Diceros bicornis minor: one gene and its partner. The protein of the gene in region 1 interacts with the protein of each later gene in a biochemical or structural test. Links are inferred from orthologs where the notes say so. Each region holds a gene or a part of one and is shown in the gene's direction. Other genes may lie near its edges.

Evidence for each region. The genes of interacting proteins can lie anywhere in the genome.
Region 2: the proteins of SH3RF1 (region 1) and AKT2 form a complex in vitro, tested with the Homo sapiens proteins (2 studies listed by BioGRID and IntAct, with this or other methods). The link is inferred for Diceros bicornis minor from reciprocal best matches to the Homo sapiens genes SH3RF1 and AKT2.

What each region holds. Positions count from the first base shown.
Region 1 is NC_080750.1:56,095,430-56,106,081, reverse strand, and holds the start of SH3RF1 (E3 ubiquitin-protein ligase SH3RF1), read left to right. Parts: upstream 1-5,723; 5' UTR 5,724-5,867; intron 5,868-5,924; exon of another isoform or gene 5,925-6,627; intron 6,628-8,117; 5' UTR 8,118-8,212; coding exon 8,213-8,605; intron 8,606-10,652. UniProt on the Homo sapiens protein: Has E3 ubiquitin-protein ligase activity. In the absence of an external substrate, it can catalyze self-ubiquitination. Stimulates ubiquitination of potassium channel KCNJ1, enhancing it's dynamin-dependent and clathrin-independent endocytosis.
Region 2 is NC_080773.1:13,913,467-13,923,372, reverse strand, and holds the start of AKT2 (RAC-beta serine/threonine-protein kinase), read left to right. Parts: upstream 1-4,776; 5' UTR 4,777-4,930; intron 4,931-9,906. UniProt on the Homo sapiens protein: Serine/threonine kinase closely related to AKT1 and AKT3. All 3 enzymes, AKT1, AKT2 and AKT3, are collectively known as AKT kinase.

The sequences.
Region 1 (10,652 bases):
TTTTAAGCTGGCCTATTTGAATGCATTAGAAAAGTCAACCTTTATCTTTAAATTTGATCAGAAAAAAAGAATTCTGAAAACTGATAAACAACCTTTAATATATAAAGATGAGTTACCAAGAAAGATTATGGAATTTCATTTCCCGAAGATGGTTAGGTAAAGTGATGGATATTTATCTACTCTCTCTCTAAGAGTTTGGGTTAGGTAAAGTTTGCTTAGAAGCAAAAGACCACTTCAAGGTTTAAACTTTTGAAATGATAAGGAATTTGACAAGAGAAAGTATTTTTAATAGAAAGGAAGGAATCCTATTATATTATTCCCATATAGGTTAAATTTATCTTTGAACTTGGGTCACAAATATATTAGGGGCATCTAGTTTTTCAGGCATTGAAGTTGAACAGTACCAAGCAACAGGACCTTCTGAGCTTCATGTGGGTGACCCTGGTCCACATTTGGGGTCCTGGGGTAACTTGGGGCCAGTCACGTGTGTTTTTCTGGGCAGGCTAATATTTTGACTCCTTTTTAAACTGATATTCTTTAAAAATCTGTCCAGCATTTATTAAGAGGAAAGGCTGAGCACTGCATGGAATGGGCATGGAAGAGGGAGGCCGACTGGAGGTGGCAACACTCAGTCACTCTCCTGTTGTCCTCAGCAAACCAGCAATGGCTTCAAGCTCCCATATCCTTCGTAACAAAACCAAAGCCCTAGATGGCCCTTTATAGATTAGTTTCCCTTGTCAGCACCTGGGGTATCTCTCTTTTAATGTTCCTCTGGGTGACTTGAGTTTAGTATTTCTCAAATTGTGGTCCCAGCATCACCCACATTAGAATCACCTGATTCTTGAACCCATGCTAGACCTACTAAGTGAGCATCTCTAGGGATGAGGCTAGGCTGTCTGCATTTTTAATGAGGTTTGCAGGTATTCTGACTGCACTAAACCTCAAGAACCACTCCCTGAAGGCTGGGTTAGAATTCGAGTCAGCTTAGAGAACTCCAGCTCTCCCCACCCCAGGTGTTCTGCTGTCAAACAGCTCTTCAAATGTTCAGACCTGTTTCAAGAAGGTTGGAGGAAGAAGCGGTTCAGTTACCTCCCACTCATCAGTTTTTCTCCTTAGCATCCATTCTGACTGAACTGAAATCCTTGCGGAGTGCCTATAAATACTCCATCTGTTCAGATTTTTTGCCAGACAGGGGAGTGTGCACCACCTTCCCACTACTGCAGACCAAAATAGCTTCTCTGGGTTTGCCTGACTCTAACAGCCCATTTCCTGACAACTATGGTGCCTCATGACCACTTGGCTTTTTACAAGGGGATTTCATTGTCTTTAGATGTCCTTTGTGCAATTAGGATGGAGATAAACTTTTAATGCTAGAAAGAACCTTAGAGAGAATCCAATCCACTCTCTAATTAGAAATAGATGCAGATAGATACATAGGAAAGGAGGCAGGAAACGAACATTTTATTGAGTCCCCACTATGTGCCAGAAAGGCTCTGTGCTAGATTTTTCAATGAGTTTTGTCATCAACTTTATACAACAAGCTTTCAAAGTGGATAACATACCCATTTGTATAGATAAGGAAGTTGAAAGTCAGAAAATTAAAGAAATTTGGAAAGTCGTTCAGTTAACAAGTAATAGATCCAGGATTGAATCTAGATTCTAATAAAAATAATAATATTAGCTGTCATTTATTAAGCACTTACCATGTGTTGGGCATAGTTCAAAGCATTCTATTTGTATTAACTTATGTAAAATCTCCACAAAATCCCTGAGGTAAGTAGTAGTATTATGCCCACTTTAGAACTCAGGCACAGAAGACTAGAAACTTGCCCAGTTAGTAGATGAAAGAGCCTTCGACTCCAAAGCTGTCTCCAGAATCAAGTACCCTGGAGAGACTGAAAGCAGGGAAAGTAGTTATTGTTCAAGTAGGAGATAAACAGGCGTGAAATAAAGATTGGGAGGAAGGGACAGGTGTAAGAAGCATTTCTGATGAACTCTGGATCATCTATCTGGATGGGAGGTAGGGGAGGGAGCAGAGAGAGAAGGAAGAATTGAAGATAACTTTGCATTTTTCTTGCTTGCTTGGGGAACTCAGTAGATGGTGACACCATTAACTAAGATCTAGAATGAAGACAAACTGGTATTCCATTATGTTCTCTGTTATATAGCTGGCATTTCTCTAGCCTAACTGTGAAATATAAGAGGACGAATCATGTGTCCTCTTCTTCTACGTAAAAACTAGTAGAAGAATGACTCAATGGAATTTGGAACATTGTCTGCCTGATTTCCTCTCTGTAGGGCAATGAAGTACTAAGTATATATGTAGCTTTAGGACAGTAACAAATATAATTCTATACTTAATTTCCTCTCTGAGAATTATTCACTGGTACTCACTATTGGTTGGCTGTCAAGGATACAATGGTGAAGAAGACAGATCCAGTCCATGCCTTCAGGGAGCTTATATCCAGGTAAGGGAGATAGGCAATAAATAAGGAATCAAAAAATTAGACTGTAAAAAGTACTATAAAGAAGATAAATGGAGCGCCGTGGTAGAGCATGATGGTGCAGCGTCCAGGTGACATAGCGGCTCCTAAGACGTGGAAGGCATTTGATTTTTATTCCAAGTATAATGGGAAGAAATTGACGGGTTTCGAGAAAGGGAGTAACAACATATCTGTTACGCATTTTTTGTAGCTTGCCCTGAATGTCACTACATTCAGGGCAAGATTGTGGGAACAGGGCTGGAAGCAGAGAAGCTGGCTAGGAGGACCAGAGGCAAAGAGTGATGGTGGCTTAAATAAAGGTGCAATGGAGGCAGAGGGAAGTGGGTAGAAATTGAAATATAATTTGGGGGTAGCTGGCAGACTTGTTGATGGAGAGGGATAGAGAGGAATAGGGAGAAATCAAAGATGATCCCTAGATTTTTAGTTTAAACAACTGGGTAAATAGTGCTGCCATCTACCAATATTGTGGCAACTGGAGGAGGAGTAAGTTTTGAAGGAAAATGATGATCAGACACGTATATATATGCATGTGTAAACATGACACCCAAGTTCACAAAAGAGTGCTCTGGACTGGGAATTTAAAAGCCTAATTTGTGTCATAAGATCACTAAGAGCAATAACTTCTCTATACCTCATTTTTTCCCATCTGCAACATGGGGATGATTATATCTGTCTTTACTGCTTCGGAGGGATGCTGAGAACATAAATAACATATATGAAAGTACTCTGACGTCTCAGGAGGATAAGAACTGTATAAATCCAAGCTGCCATTTTTATGTACAGAGTGTGTTTGTATTTTTCATAGATCTACTCAAAGTCACAGGGACCATAAGTATATCTTGCTTACATTCTTTTCTTCAGTTCAGTTCCCAGAAATGGTAAGATGTACATACTTCTCTTTCCCCAACTGTCCCTTTTCCTATAGTATTCTCTTGACAGGATTTTGCAATTAGTGTTGTCTCAAACTTTTTTAAGACCCTGGGAAGAAAGGATTTTGCCCAGGATAACTCTGTCTGGGTAATTCTTGGCAGATAATGACAATGATGGTATCTTTCTTTAATAGAGATGTACAGATTACAAAGATCTAGCACATTGTCTCACTGAATCCTCCAAGAACACTCAAAGAAAGGTATTATTTTTTCACCATTTGCCAGAAGGAAGTTGGTGATGAATAAATGAAAAGCAATAAGATAAATTGGAGTATTTGAGGAACCCATTTTGTTTAAAAATAACTTGGCCTGACCTTGTTCTTCCAAAGGGGCCTGATGTGGTCTGTTGAGCATGCATTGTACATCTGCTTTAAACGTCTACAATGTCCCAAAGACAAGAATGATGCCCTTTAAAGATAGGGATAGGGATGTAGCTTTCCCCTATATCAGCATTTCTTTAAGGATAAGCATCTCTTCCTAAAAACTAAGGATTAATTACCAAACTGCTGTGCTCACCTTGTGACCACTGACCTGCTGTGCCAGCTAAGCATCTTATGACAGTAGTAAAAGAGATATTCCTGTCATATTTGATGTCCCAAGACAGTATATAACCACTCTGTACACTCCATTTCTGGGGTGTGCTTCTTTCCTTGGGAAAGGAAGCCCCCCGGGCTATAGTCCTCAGACCTGACTCATAATAAACTCACCCCAAATTTTGATTTATAGATTGATTATGGATTATTTGCATTGACAATGGCTCAAGAAATTAATGTAATTTTCCTAAAAATTCATATTACAGCTAGAGTAATTAGGCTAATAAAAGAGTTGTGTTCTAAAAAATATAGTGAACTGGCATCAGGGATGTTCAAAGAACTGCAGCTATGTTCCAGGTAATATTCATGGGATGTGTGCGGGTTTCTTTGATGACTGCAGTCTTAGTCACTATCTTCAGCTCTTTGATAATGGGTGTGACTACTGATTTTCTTGGCTAGTTTCAAGAGCTGCACCATTCCACACATGACTTTGTATTCTGTTCTCCGTAAAAACAAAAAACCAAAATCACTAAACAAAAATTGTCCCTTGCTCTTCAGAGTAACCTCATGATTGACAGTGTCATCTTTCCCTTGGGAGAAGACATAGTTAACTTGGTTTTGCCTGAGGTGATGTGTAAAAGAGAGGGGACTTGGCATCTAGAGACCTGAGGCTGAGTCTTGGTCCAATATTACTTATCGAATGTGTGATGTGGGGATGAAGTGAACCTATGTGAGCTTCAGTTTTAATAACTGTAAACTGCATGTAATAATATTTATCTGTTTACTGACTGTAACTTTCCAGTCAGACTCTCCTTCATCTGCACAGTTCCAGATGCAGTATATGGGCTAAGTAGTCACTTTCACAGTGCCTTGTTTGTAGATTACTGGATTAAAAATTTTCCATTGTGTTCATTCCTTCCCTTGCTTTCTCAGCTCAAATGCATGTGTATTTGCTCACTTCTAATGGAGGGGGAATTGGGCTATTATTTCTGGTATTCACACAGTATGGCTCTCAGCATGCTAATCTACTTGAACAAAGCTAAGGGGGGATGACGTACAGGGTTGCAATGAGGATTAAATTAATGCATGTAAAATGTTTAGTGCAGTGACTGGCATACAGTGAATGACCAATAATTGTTAGCTATTATAATTTTTTCTTACTAGGTGATTCTCATCTGTCTTGAATGGTTTAGCTGTGGCCCTGGCCAGAGAGTGGAGATAATCTGGCTCCTCTTCAAAATGTCAGCCTGGTTAGTGGCCAGGCAGGGATTTCTTGCATAATATCTGTAACCCCTTCTCCTTGTTTTCACCTAGTTTCTGTACACCTTTGAGGAAGGGTATTTGGGATAGCTTTTTGTAAGCTGATGGTAAATGTAAATAAAATAATAACGTCTTGGAGATAATGACAAAATTTTGTTTTCCCTCTAAATTGAGTCTGAAAAACAAACCTCAAAACCTGTGGACAGGTTTTTCAAAACTGCATTTCAGAGCTTACAGGTGTGTGCCTGGGGCAACCAAAACAAAGATTACAGTGATGGTTACGGCTGCCTCCCAGGCTCAGATAAAAGAGGCGCCTCTCAGCTGGCTTCGCGGTGCCAGCTCACCTGAGGTCAGACTTTGAATTTTCCCTTTTTAGGGCGGGTATAACAAGGCCTCCCAGGGCTGGGTTTTAAACCCACACTGCTGTTTTCCTAGCCTCTCTCCCTGCCCATTTTGAGTTTCTGGGGCAGCAATCCTCCCAGCTTGCTCGGGTTTGTGTCCCGGCGGAGGCGGCGTGATGCCTGGGAGCAGGCAGATGGGGGAGCAATGCTGGGCGGCGGCGGCCGGGGACTCGGCGGGTGGACGGCTGCCCTGGGACTGTCCCGCCACGGATTCAACATGCCTCTCCGGGTCCTAAGGGGGTAACAGCTCTTCGCTCGTCCTCTCCCAACTGGCTCTCCAGGGCTGGGCGAACAGAGGCAGCGCAAAGTGGGCTGAGTTCCCGCCAGGGCTGCTCCCGCCCTTTCCCGGGACCCAGCCCCTCCCGCGCCGCGCGGGGCCCGCCCCGATCGTCCGTCGCGGGCCGCCGGGCACCGCCGGGCAGGAGGACGACGTGGCCGCTCCTGCCCTGTGGCGCCTGCCTTCTTCCCTCAGCTGCCCCTCCCCACGCTCTCCTTCGGTTGCTCCATTTTTCAGGCGTGTTTTCCTCAGACGGCGGCGTCTGTCCCCAAACCTTCCCCCTCACTCCCCTCGGGGACCCCGCTTCTCGGACTCTCGGCGCTCGCAGCGCCCCCTTAGGCGGCCGCCCCAGCCGCCCCCGGGCACCGGCGGGGCCAGGCGCGCAGGTACCTCAGCGCCGGCAGGAAGGCGCGGCCGGCCCGGGGGGAGGCGCTGTGCTGCGGGGCCGCCCCCTCGCGCCCCGGGCGCCGGCTGCGGCCCGGCCTCCCCCTCGTCCTCCTCGTCCTCCTCCTCTTCCTCCGCCCTCCTGGGCTGGGAGAGTGGGAGGCGGCGGCGGCGGCGGCGGCTGCGTGTGCGCGCGGGAGGGGGGCGGCAGAGAGGAGTCTCCCGGTGCCGCGGCGGCGTCAGAGACACTGCGAGCGACGAGCGCGGCGGGGCCGCATCTGCCTCGGCCGCCGCCGCCGCCGCGGGGCCACGAACAAAGAGGAGGAGCCGAGGCGCGAGGTAGGGCGCGGGGGGGCGCGGGGACCCGAGGAGGCGGTGGTCGGGGGCCCCCCCCGCGCTGGTCAGTCTCTCGGTCCCCCAGCCGCGGGGCCCCGTGGGCCCGGAGCCGGGGCCTCGCTCCCTCTCCCGGCAGGAAGCTGCCCGGGCTCGGTGCCGCGGTCTCCCGGGCGCAGCCCAGCGCCCCCTGCTCTCCGCTGGCCCGGTCTCTCTGGGGACTCCCGCCTCCTCTCTGCGGGCTTTTGGCTCTTTCCCGCTGGCACTTGATGGGGCTGACTTGCGCAACTTAAGGCTGCGAATTCATCTTTAAGTCCTTGAAAACTTCCCGCAGTCGCGCGGGGGGATTTTTGTGTCCGGCCTGACCCAAAGGGAGGCGGAGATGAGGCTGCTGAAGGAGAGCCCCGTTCCGGCCCCGCCGGGCCGCAGCCCCAGCCCAGGACCCTCCCCGGCCCCGTGTCGCCGACACCTGGCTCCGGGCTGTGTCTGCGGCGGCCGCCCGCCGCGCCTCCTGCGGTCCGGAGTACCTGTGCCGGGCAGCGTGGGAGAGGGGCGCCGCCAGGGCTTCCCCCGCCCCGACACTGTCAAGAACAGCTGTTAATGCTCCCATCAAAATCCTTTTACCCCCTTTCTCCTAGGCATTTACGTTTACATTGATTCTGGTGGTGGGGGCAGAGCGGCGCAGTCACTGGTTTAAATGCTTTTTCTTGAATGGCCCCATTTTCGTATTATGCTCACAGTTTTCAGGCCAGCATTCCATTGTCAAATTCTTTGGGTGGTAATTTTGCCAGATTTTCTGAATGGGATTAGGACAGGCCGTTCAGAAATCCGTTTCAGAGTTTGTCAACCACTGCTCTGAAGGGTGCCTTTATATTTTAGCTGCTTTCAAGCCAATGTTGAGTTGTGTCCTTTAGAATTGTCAACCTTCAGCTCATTTTGGTTGGGCAAGATTAGACAGTTCTGTTTTTAAGACCAGTGAAGAAGCATATGTATTTAATAATATTGGGGTCATTAACCACAACCCATCACGTGAGGCATGGTTTCTTAAATACTAAAGTGGCTTAAATATTGGGAACTTTGTTAGATTTAAAAGTAATTTCAGGTGGAGGAAACTTTCCATTGCTTCTGTTCAGCTTCTCATATGAGTTGAGGACTTTATTAAGGCAGCTGTTATAACTTTGAGAGCTGAAGAAATTATATTCTTTATTGCATTGCATAAAACCTATTTATTGCAGGAATCCTGTATGGTACTTGATAGCCATTTCTGCACAGTGAACTCCTAGATATCTTTAGGAGTTAATTTTGAATTGTTTAAAAAGCCTATTTTGTTTTTAATTGTTGACTTTGGAGTTCAGGAACCACATTCCAAAGCAAAGCTACACTATTCAGAGGAAGCCCTTTTGTGTACTTTTTGGTTCTTGGCTCCTCTGTGAGCCTTTTCCCCAGATAACGATACTGATTTTCTGTCTTTTCTCCCTCTCCCCCCATGGCTCCAGAGCAAAGTCTGAAATGGATGTTACATGAATCACTTTAAGGGGTGCCCACAACTATGAACATTTCTGAAGCGGTTTCTGCAGTAAACTAGATAAAGATGGATGAATCTGCCTTGTTGGATCTTCTGGAGTGTCCTGTTTGTCTAGAGCGGCTTGATGCTTCTGCAAAGGTCTTGCCTTGCCAGCATACGTTTTGCAAACGATGTTTGCTGGGGATCGTAGGTTCCCGAAATGAACTCAGATGTCCCGAGTGCAGGACTCTTGTTGGCTCGGGTGTTGAGGAGCTTCCAAGTAACATCTTGCTGGTCCGACTTCTGGATGGCATCAAGCAGAGGCCTTGGAAACCTGGCCCTGGTGGGGGCAGTGGGACGAACTGCACAAATGCATTAAGGGCTCAGAGCAGCACGGTGGCTAATTGTAGCTCAAAAGATCTGCAGAGCTCCCAGAGTGGACAGCAGCCACGGGTGCAAGCCTGGAGCCCCCCTGTGAGGGTGAGTAGCCTGCAGAAGCAGTTTGGGGCATAAAGGTGGTGATGACCACATTTTTTTTCTTTATTCTTTAGCTTGATGTTTTCTAAATCAGCTCATTGCTAAGGAAGCCACAGTTACTGGAACATATAGGAAATGATGCCTCAGGAAAATTTTTTTCCTTTTGGAATGAGATTGGATATAAAAAATTTTCTTGTTTTTAAAATTCTCTCTAGATAGTCTCTATTACCTTTTAAGATAAATTTTGGGAAATAGGTGGCAATTATTCAATGAAATCTAAAGCAGCAGTTTTTTATGCCCATTTTAAAACGGAAATTTGGTTGGGTTTTACCTTTTTGGTGGAGTTGGGAGAGCCATAATTATGTATGTATGTGTACATATATGTATACATGTTATAAATATGCACGGGGCAAATCATAAGTAGGAAATCAAGCCTTCATTTTTATGTTGCTTAGAGCCATTCTATTGGTTTTATGAATGCACAGCACAGAATTTACTGGTTGGAGGAATTCTTGACAAAGCATGGCCACAGGTAGCAGAGTTTCGTTTCCGTAGCAACGAAATGTCATTTAGTACTATGCTAAAACAGCAGAGAATCTAGCTTTATGTTGGGTTTAACAGGGAGTGAAATGAACTGTTTCCATCAAAATGATTTTTCTTGGGTTTTGGGTTTGGGCTGAAATAATTTTAAGTGAAGCTAAGTATTTCGACAGTTACAATAACTTAAAAAATTTCTAGACGGTAAGGTATTCTGAATAACTCTAAATTATGTTGTGGCTAATGGTACCCTAATAAGGCATGCTGTTCTCATTTTTGTAAAAATAAAAAGTAGTTATGGACATCAGATAATTAAAACAATTCTGTTTTTGTTGGAAGAAACAATTTTGATAATTGACCGAACTGATAGAATCTATTTTTTTTTTTTTTCTGATAGAATCTATTTTTAAAGAACGGTTGATCTGGATGAGAATATTTTTTTCAAATATTCATAGTAAACACTCAAAACTGACTTCTTCCATTTAATGTAGGAACAACCACTTGGGATGGCATTAGATAGTGTAAATTCACAGATGTGAATGACAGACAGCTCTAACAGAGTAACTGCCTTATAACCTTTCCCTTACTTCCTTCTCAAGCTCATCTTTTACAAATGATGTAAAGTATTTACATCACTAGATGTAAAGTATATAAAGCATTTTAATCACTAGAAAACATTTTTCATCGCTAAGCTATCAGATTTCTTTTGATTCATATTTAATTTTTTTTTAAAGATAGTGAGTACTTTGGGTTAGGGAGATTTTCTTTCCATATTTGAAGCCCACATGTTGGGAAATTGGTTTGCTTATAGCACTTTTCTTAGATTCCCTTTTTTTTATGGAGTTTACTGGTGCCTTGATTAGTGTATATGGACTCATGAATATTTTAACCTCAGAACCAGTGATCAGGTTGATCATTTCTGAGACACCTGACCCAGGTCTGCCTAGCTTAATTAGGGAGTAGATTTCCTTCTTTGGAGAGATTTTGTTTCCTTGTTAATTAGACTAGAGAAGGCATAGCTTCTGGCTATGAGTAGAAGTAGCTTAGTTGTTGACACATCACCTTACCTGTTGTAAGGAATGCATTGAATGTTTGATTACTGATAAAAAGGAATTTAAGAAGAAGGCTCAAGCATTCAACTTAACATACTTTGAATTTAACTTCTCTTTCTAACATAGAAATTGACTATGTAATGCTGTAATGTTCATTTATTTGAACTGCTAAGCTCCCAAAATAGAGCTTCACTTTCTTAGGTAAATTATTTTGAGATTTTTATGATGTTAGTATTCTTTTTCTGGCTTATGATTTTCCTAATTTAGTTCATGTTTCTTCTTCAGCATGAGAAAAATTACTTGCCAAGAAGCCCAACTGAACTTGAGCCTTTTAACTTGGATAAAATAGTTGAGATTGATAAAACAGGAGATAATGTCTGTTACTTTGGGAAGGAGCACGGAGAGTGGAGGACAAAACCACGAACAAAATTATTCAGTAATCTGAGTTGATGCAAATGCTG
Region 2 (9,906 bases), on another chromosome or scaffold:
AAAAGAGCTTTTTGGGTAACTCTGTATTTTAGTGTAATTGTAAACGTATAGAAAAGCAGCAAGAATAGTTCAAGGGATTCCCGTATACTTGTCCGGATTTGCCAGTTCTCACTTCATTTATTTTATCATTCCCTCCTCCCCCCACCCCCTCCCCGTAGGCATACATACATACGTACAGATACACATGCTGTGTTTTTGAACCATTTGAGAGTTAAAGTGGAGAACACCATGACCCTTTACCTAGGAATACTTCACTGTGTATTTCCTAAGAACAAGAACATTCTCTTTCATAAGAATTAGTACAACTATCAAAAATCAAGAAATTTCACGTGGAATCAATACTCTTATCTAAACCCCCGTTCATATTCCAATTTCATCAATTTTCCCAGTAATGTTCCTTATTGCCATTTTTCCCCTGGCTCAGAATCCAATTCCGGATCACGTGTTGCATTTAGGTGCCGTGTCAGAGCTCCCTTTTAAACAGTGAATGTTGCAATAACAGCACAAAGTTCGCCCAACTTGCTCCAGGTCGGCTTGATGCCTGGGAGTCAGCCCGGCCCAGCGGGGATGGCCAGCTCATGTGGCGCCATCTTGTGGCAACAGCGCGAATAGGGTTTCTAAGTCACCTTGTCTGCTGCTGTGAAATGATTCCCTTCTTGATGACCTAAAAAAAGCTAGGTGATATTCATATTATCTCAATTTTTCTTAATCATGTATGAAACTGTGTTCTAGGTATTTTGCTGTTTCAAATCCACGTACTTTAACTTAGCATAAAACAAGACTTTGCTGTATCTCAAATTTGGACCCATGGAGGTGGTGTCGAGTGCTGTTGGTGCAAGCGTGGGCTTGGCCTGGGACATCTTTGGGAATGGACCTGGGGGCCACATATTCTAGAGTCACAGAGGCTCTTCCTGCAGGAACATGTAACAAGGTCATGGATATATTCTTGGCACTGCACCTGATACTTCAGGGGAATTCTTCAATAAAGGTTAAGAGATTATTATTATTTGTTCAACTTATTTGTGAGCAGGCAAGTTCAGACCTGAAGTAAAAATCAGTCCATACACACAGAGCCTTAACTTTCCCAGTCAAAACCACATTCAGTCAACAAATATTTATTGATCCCCAAGTCCCAACTAGGTGCCAGGCATTGTTCTAGGGGCTGGGAATACAGTGGTGCCCAAGACAAGGTCTTGGCCCTCAGGGCAAATTTATATCCTGGTTTGGGGGAAGACAGTTACAAAATAAACAGCAAAAATAGCTTTTAGTGTCTAGTGTTAAGTAGGGAATTCAAAGATGCTACAGAGATAGTGATAGTGTGGCCCTCTTGGATTTGGGATGGCCAGGGAAAGCCTCTCTAAAGAAGTGAGATTTGAACTGAGTTCTGGAAGACAAGAAGGGGCCAGTCATGAAAAGATCAGGATCAGGGGGGTGAACAGTCCAGGCAACAGGAACAGCAAGTGCAAAGGCCCTGAGGTAGGAACAAGCTTATCTTTTTGAAGGGGCAGAGAAGAGGTTAGTGTGTCTAGAAGACAGTGGTCAAGGGCAAGAGCAGCTTGAGATGAAGTTAGAAAGATAGGCAGGGGCAGCTCACAGAAGGCCATGGTGAGGCCTTTAGCTTTTATTCCACAGGGGATGGGAAGCCATCCATGTGTTTGGAGCAGATCGGTAAAGTGTTCAATCTTACCGAGTAGAAAAAGCTTCCTCCCAGGGTCTGCATAAGAGTGCATTAGCCTAGCACGACCATGTAAACGTTTTGGGAATCTCTGATGTGTTAAAAAGTTGAATGTGCATGGTGCATGGTGTCTTCTATTACAATTTTTGAAACAGAAACATATTTTATAAAAAGGAAATTGGAACCAACATTTACAGAATCCCTGAGGCTTATCTGTACCTCTGCCAAACACTTAAGTGACTCTAAAAGGATCTTCCCAACACAGTAGCATCTAGGGTGGGGGCTTAGTGACTTCTGGCTGGGGACTCAAAGATATTATTTCAACATTTCTGTATACCGTGGGAAACTCTTTTAAATAAAAACTTTTTTTTTCTAACGGTTCCAGACTTCTCTGAGAATCTGATCAATGCTATGGACTTTCTCCCTCGAAAATGCTTTGCTTCAGATGAAGAAATGAGGAATTCTGATTTTGCCTGCTTGCCCATGTGGCAGGGAGGGTTCCCCCCACGGCCACCTCCACCACTGCCAAGGATAGACCTCCGGACCTCGTGGGGATGGAGTGGAAGCCTCCTCATTTGGGGATGCTAAGAGCTGGTCCACGCAGCTTGTCCAGTCACCATTGGGAGCCCAGTCTTGGTGAGAAGGGTTGAAACAGATTCGGGGGCTGATTTCTGCTCCTTGGGGACAGAGGGAGATGCCCTCTCCATCCCTCAGGGCAGGATTCTTAAATCACTTTTTTTCTGAATTAAGAGGACTTTGAGCAGACTTCAGATGAGAAGCCACTGGCCCTTCTCCCCAGAAAAATGCATGCACAGCCCATATTTATAGTCATGGGCGGGGAGTTCACAGAACAGATTAGAGGGTAGAGAACAATTTGGGGTTTTAGGGAATTTTCTCCTCAATCACCCTTGAGGTGGAAATTGAGAGACTGAGGCCCCCAAATGATAATTAAGTGGTTTGCCAAAGCAACACAGGGGACAGAAGTAGGGCCAATAATACTTTCTATTTTCCAGCATGATGTGAGTTCAAACCGCAGGCTCTTGTATCAGACCGCCTGGCTTCAAATCCCACCTCTACCGCAACTTATCCTGGGACCTTGAGTGAGCCCCTTAAGGTACTGTTGCATCTGACCTCTAAGATTGTGTTGCCAGCAACAGGGTAGCATCGCTGGGAATGTCTTAAGAACAGAACCTGGCCAGTAACAACTGCTAAATAAATTCTATTGATATTTTGCAATGAGGAAAGGCAAATTCAGAGAAGTGAAGTGATTTTGACAAGGACACAGGAAAGGCATGATTAGAACTAGGCCTGTCTCCCTCCAAAGCCAGTGAGCACTGTTCACCCCTAGACTAGTGTTTTTCAAACTGCAAGGCACGACCCATTAGTGGGTCAGAAAATCAGTCAGCAGGGTCTCTAACAGCAATGAAAAAAAAAAATCAGAGTGCATCATACATAAGAGTAAATAGTGTTTGGTGACACTTTGTTTCATTATACTGTAAGTCCACGTATGTGTGTACTAGGTCTTAAAATGGTTTGAAAGCCATGACCTTCCACGACCACTGTCCCAAGGAGTTTATACGTAACCACATGGGATGTTTCAGTGAGATAATCCATTGTGTGCCCTAGGAGGGGCAGGGACTGAGTTAGCCCAGGAAGATTTAGAGGGAGGGGGATGGGCTGTGAGCTGTGCAGCATGGAGAGGAGCAAAGAGTGTAGGCCACAGTGACTACTTGAATGTAGATTAGAGCAGAAGGGATAATTCTTGAAACAAATATTCCCCAAGAGTCCATTCTGTGCCAGGACTTTTGCTGGCCCGTGTTGGGTACACACTGATGACTGAGACAGTCCTGGTCCCTTGCCTCGTGGGGCTCTCTGTGCAGTGGAGGAGACAGACCTGTCACCAGACACTAAGGGACTAAAATGGTCAGGGCTGTGGTGGGGGAGGCATTGGTCAGAGTTATCAACACTGGGATAGAAGAAAACCATGAATTAGGAATACAGAGCAGCGAGTTCCAAGCTGGAAACCCATTACCTAAGGGCTAGTTCCAACATTAGGTTTACCTCTGAGAAAACCAAGATCCACCCTTGAGCAGGACTTGCTTGAGACACCCTCACAGACTTAGGTGGACCCAGGATTCTTCGACTCCCAGCCAAGCCTTCTAGAAGAAGTATGCACTAACCAATGCATACCTGACAAGCTGTGGGGCATCCTGGAACCCAAATTCAGAAGGTAGCAAGCCCCACCCAACCTATGAGAGAGAAGGGACTAGGCGCCAGATGTCCCACAGCTGTCTAGTATGCTAGCTAATGTATGGGCCAGGATCTGTGCAAAGCTCTTTCCTTGCAAAGCGATCTTAACGCCTTTAAAGGCGCAAGTTACCCCATAAAAAAGTTAAACCCCATATTTAATTGAATATGTATGATGAGCAGGTAGGTTGCATATTTTGGAGTCATAGACTGTCTGATATAAACTGTTCTGTGTACATAAAATAGTCCAGTAGCCCAGTGATGCAGCTATGGTTGTTGCCATCTTGCAGATGTGGATACTGAGGCACAGGAAACAGTGGAGCCTTCTGTCCACAGTCACCAGCAAGAAAATGCAAAGCTGGGTTTGTGTGGTTTCAGAGCCTGCGCGCAACCAGGAGGGACATGCTGAAAAGGCCACCCCTCCTAAGCCCCGCTCCAGGGCTCTTTAAGAGCCTCGGAACCGGGAGGAAAGGCGACAGCAGAGAAAAGCGAGATCAAAGCGTATGTAAATAAGGACCAGGGACTGCCGGGAAACGTCACTGCGGCTATAGCCTCTAGGGAAAGCAGGCGTCAGAGGCCTACTGCGCCTGCGCACTCCTATCCCTTCTTTCCGTCCCGCGCCTGCGCGAGACACGGCCATTACCCACACAGGCCCAAACTTGCCTAATGTACGCAGGCGCCCTGCTCTGAGTCCGTCTCTGCCCCTTCCTTGCGCTTGCGCTCTAGCCCTCTCCGAGTCCAGCTCTCGCTCTTTGACGTCAGTTCCTGTTTGTGGCGGGAGAAGGCGGTATTTCCGGCCAGAGGGTGGGAGGGGGCGGTAAGCGGGGGCAGGGGGGAGGGGGCGGGGGGGGCCGCGCCTCGCGAGCCGTTGGGCCTGGCTCGGAGAAGGCGTTGCCGCTGCTGCCGCCGTTGCTGCCGCCAGGAAACACAAGGAGCGGGACCAAGCGCAGCGTGGCGATGGGCGGGAGTAGAGCCCCGCCGGAGAGGCTGGGCGGCCGCCGGTGACAGGTGAGTGCGCCAGCGCGTGTTTCCGAGCGCCCCCCCACCCTGCGATGGTCGCGTCCGGACCCCCCGCGAGGCCGCGCTGGGCCGTACCACCCGTGCCCGCCGGGCGGGGACCGCGTCCTCGAGCCCCCCCTTCCGGGACTGAGGAAGGGTGGCTGGGCGGGGGCGGAGGACTAGCCCTGAGGGGCCGGGGGCGGGGGCGGCGGGCCGTACCACTGAGGCCGCGGGGGGGGGGCATACCAAAGTGAGAGGACCGAACCACTGAAGGGTGGGGGCGCAGACCCCGGCGTGTGCGGGCTGGGGGCTGAACTAGTGGGGTGTGAAGAGAGAGCGTGCCTGGTGTGCGAGAGCTAGCCATGGAGGGGGCGCGCCTTACCAAGTGTAGGGGCTGTCCTTCTCCGGGGCTGCGGGAGCCGTTCTTATAGTGTGTTTAGAGAGATGGGGGCTTCTGGGGAGGGGCCTGTACCAAGTGTGGTCGGGGTAGCGCTGTCCGGGTTATACCACTGAGGAGCTGGGGGGAGCCGTCCTTAGAACGAGAGCAGCGCTCTATCAGAGGAGCAGGGCTGCGATGTTTATAATCTCCGAGGGACGGGGCAGGCCCAAGTGGGTGTTTAGGGGGGTATTTGGGGAGGGCTGTAACGCCGAGTGATGAGGGGCTTCTGCCGCCTGTGTTTTGGTGGGTGGGGCTTGGGGGTTTACACTGAGCTGGAGTGGGAGGGTCACTTTATTGAACTTCGTAATGACTTTGGGGGAAACTGGATGGTCACGGGGACTTCTGTCTACCTCGGAACCCTTTCATAGTGTTAAGCCTTATTTTAAGGTGTGTGGGCCACCTCTGTGGCAAATTGTTTCCTTCCAGGGCCGGAGGGTTGGGTGGGTAGATGTCTTAGAAGCCGCCGTCTGAAGTTTTCTGAGCTTTCGGCTCCATATTAGGGAGGGGAGGGGGTATCCAGCTTGGATTTGAGGAGTTGCGCCCTTGGACCTGCTTGTTAAGACTTGGGAGGAAGGAATGTTTGGAGGGACAGCTCTCCACCAGGGCAAGGTGGATGGGGACATCTCGATTCTTTGGATTCTGAGGACTCCTCATTTAGAGGCCTGAGCTGGAGTAATTGGGTCCTTCTGTGGGCTTCCTTTCAACTTTGTCCACTCTTCCCATCTCAGAGAAGCATCAGGAGTTCAGTCCCAGCCTGACCTTGGTTAGTGTGGGTGCGAAGGGGCCAGGCACCCACACAGACCACCGCAGCCCCCTCCATCCTGGCCGTGAGGCTGTTTGTGTCTCCCGGGTTGGCAGTCCAGCGGCCCATCATGTTTACGCTCCCCACCAGGCGCTGACAGTTGGCCTCACCATTAGGCGGCAGTGAGGCTGAGCGCTGTTTTCCCAGCTGTTCCTCTCCGCATAGGCCAAGGGGACTCTGGTGGGTTGGGTGGGGGTGGGGGGTGCCCCTGGCCCAGCCCAGCCCAGGGAGGAAGGCTGCTCTGAAGGACTTGGGGCTGTCAGATCCCCTAGGGATCTGGTTTCTTGTGGTCGCTGGGTATGGGTGCTTGGAGCAGCTAGCTCCAAACGTGAGGCCACTGCCCCTGCTCCCCAGGCCAGTTTGTGACCTTGGCTTGCGTCGTAACCTTTGTCCTGGGTCTGGAGTTTCTGGAGGGTGGCCACAGTCCCTGACTGACCCAGCTAGCACAGACTGGTGATGTGGTCTATGGGGGTAGATGGTCGCTTCTGGTCCACAGCGTCGGCTTCCGAGCTGACTGGCTTCCGAGGGTTGTGGTTCCTGGAGAGGAAGGTCCCTGAGTCTCTGCGAGGCTGTGGTGACTCTGTAGAGTTTTTCTCCACCAGGGGTTTGTTCCTCTAGTCTCCTTCTGCCAGCTTTTAGAGGGTTTGTCTGATGGGTTAACAGCAGCAGTAAAAACAATAATCATGAGATTGATGGCTGACATGTATTCAGTGCATTCTCTGTGCCACTCGCTGTTCAGAATGCTTCACATGGGTTAACTTGCTGAGTGCTCATGTCCTAGAGCCGTGGGTACTGTTGTCATGATCTGCATTTTAGAAGGGGAAACTGAGGCACACAGAAGCAAATCATTTCCAGAGCTAGTGAATAGCCAGTGTTTATTGAATATTCACTGTATGTCAAGCACGTGACAGACCTTTTACACACGTGACCTCGTTTAAATCTCAAAACACACCTATGGGGTAGGTATGGTTATGCCCGTTTCACACATTCCTATGAGGTGGGGAGAAGTGACACCCATTTCACTGATCAGAAAACTGAGACACCTGCTGTGAAGTGAAATGATTTGTCCGACGTCTACCGGCGGGAAGTGGCAGAGCTGGCATGTGAACCCCTGGCCCGGCTTGGCCTCAGAACGAACCTCTTGTCAGAGTAACTGGAACAGTGGTTTAGTTTTGCCGAGGGGTGGATATGGTGTTTCTGTCCATTTTGCAGAGTCATCAGTTGGGGCTCAGAAGGGGAATTGCCTTGCCCTAGGTCTGTCAGACCCTAAGGGGCCAGGCTGGGGTTTGAACACAGGTTGGTTTGTCCCTGGTGTCACACACTCTTTGCTCACCAGGTCTCAAGCTGCAGTGGGTCTGTCACCTCAAAGGACCTGCCCTGGGCCCTGCCACCTGCGCCCTTGGGCAGTTCCTTCCCCTCATCCCCTGAGCCCAGGGCTGCTGGGAGCACCTCTGCCGGCAGCCGGTCCAGCAGTTCTGGGCTTGCTGGTGCAATCTAGTCTCTTCTCAGAATTGAGCCCGGAGATCTTTTAACCTGGGGCAGAGTGTGTGCTGGCAGAGAACAGTAAGAGAGACATGCAGGGGGTGACACAGCTACCAGGGGACCTGAGTTAGAGGTCCGTGCACAAGGGTGGTGTAGTGGGCATGCATGCAAGTGCTGGTGCTTTCACGTTCTGGCTGTGTGACCTTGGGCCTCAGTGTTCGTCTCTGTGCAGCAGTCTCAGAATGGCACCCACCTCGGGCTGTTGTGAGGATTAAATGAATTGATCCACAAGAAGCTCCTAGAATAGTGTCTGGCGCTGTAAATGCTCAGTCGGCAGTCCAGAGGTCATCTATCCTCCCTGACCCCTACCCTTGGTCCTCTCAAGCGTCGGGCTATCCAGCCCCCCAGCATGGCCCATCCAGGATCCAGGAATCCAGCATCTTGGTCTCTAACCTCTGTAAAGCATCGCACTGAAGCGATTTAGAGCACAGGGGTCAAATCCAGCCCAGCCACTCATTGGCTGTGTGACCTTCAGCAGGTTCCTCAACCCTTCTGAGCCCCTTTCCTCATCGCTATCATGGCACGATGATAATTCCCACGTGATGGGTTGTTGTGAAGGTTAAATGGGTTAATTTGTAGAAAGCATTTATAGCTGTGTTGGCATAGCGGTAAGGCTGCGGTAAATGGTCCTTCTTCCCACTGTTGTGGAAGAGTGCCGGACCCACAAGGAGCCTTCAGGATATCTTCGCAGTTGTAATCCTTGTTACTTCTGCTAGGATTTTGAAGGCCTTTCCCAGATCACAGAGCCTTGTCAGATAACACCAGTAGGAGGGCGGGGCCAAAATTAGCATCTCCATTTTCCAGATGAGGAAACGGAGGTTCTGGGAGGTTGGGAAGCCAGGGGACATATAATCAACTAAAAACGGGCAAATGCAGTGCCCAGGTCCCCTCCCTGTCCCACACAGTTGCTGCCTGGAGCCTCTCCAAGGTCGCAGTTCTAGCTCCTTTCTAGATGTCAGGCCCTGCTAAAGCCCCTTCCTGTGGTGCTTTTATTGAATCTCCACCACAGCCCCTGGAGTGGCGGGAAGGGCCTTGACCTCGGTGGGGTCAGCCCTTTTGAAGGCTGCGAGGTGGAAGGGTGGGCACGAGCAGAAGTGCTGGTGGGAGTCGGGGGCCCAGCTGCGCCAAGCCTCAGGGGCCTGGGTGAGAGGTGTGGGTTTGATCCGAAGGCATTGCGGAGCTGACCGCCACCATTTATTGAGCATCTACTGCATGCCTGCATTGCTTCAGGTGCTGGGGGTACAGTGGTGTCCTTGACAGAGGCCCTACTCCCACGGAGCTGAGGGAGACAAATCCTAAAGCCAGCAAATAAACAAGGGGGCAGGGCCGGCCCCGTGGCTTAGCGGTTAAGTGCGCGTGCTCCGCTGCTGGCAGCCCGGGTTCGGATCCCGGGCGCGCACCGACACACCGCTTCTCTGGCCATGCTGAGGCCGCGACCCACATACAGCAACTAGAAGGATGTGCAGCTATGACATACAACTATCTACTGGGGCTTTGGGGGGAAAAATAAATAAAATTATAAAAAAAAAAAGTAAAAATAAACAAGGGGCAGGTTAAAGGGAGGTGCCAGGCCTTGAATTGAAATCAGGTGTGACGGGGCTTCTTTAGATGGGCTGTTGGGAGGGCCTCTGAGCTGGTCCCAGGTTGACAAGGTGAGGCAGTCGTGTGGGACAGGAGAAGGGACAGCCTTGGGGCGGGGGGTGGGGACCGAGCTTGGTGAGGTGCAGGGACAGGCTGTGTGGTGGGGTGAGCGAGGGAGGGGGCAGGAGAGGAGGCCAGGGGCTGGTCACTCAGAGCTTGTAGAACGCCGTGCGGAGGAATTTGGTCAGACATAGGGCTTTAGAAGGTGCCTCTTGCCATAAGCGAGGTTCTCAGGCTTCTGCCTGGGGTGGAGGTAGATTTTCGAGCCGGTCAGAGAGTTTCACATGCCTGCCACTTCCCCCTTGAGTAGAATCACTGCCTTAGAAACAGCGAAGGCCCGATGGTCGCCTCCCTCCTCTGTGGTTTTCACACCGCGTTCCCCAGGGCCCATGGCTGTTCCCTTTAGGGACAGATGGGGGGAGGCTCAATGGGCTGATTTTCTGCCCACCCCGCCACACCCCACCCCGAACAGCTGGGCTAATATCATATAACAGTGCAGAACAACAGTAATACCTGATAGGAACCATACTTGCTGATTCTGCCCTCCTGTGCTGGAGGGCC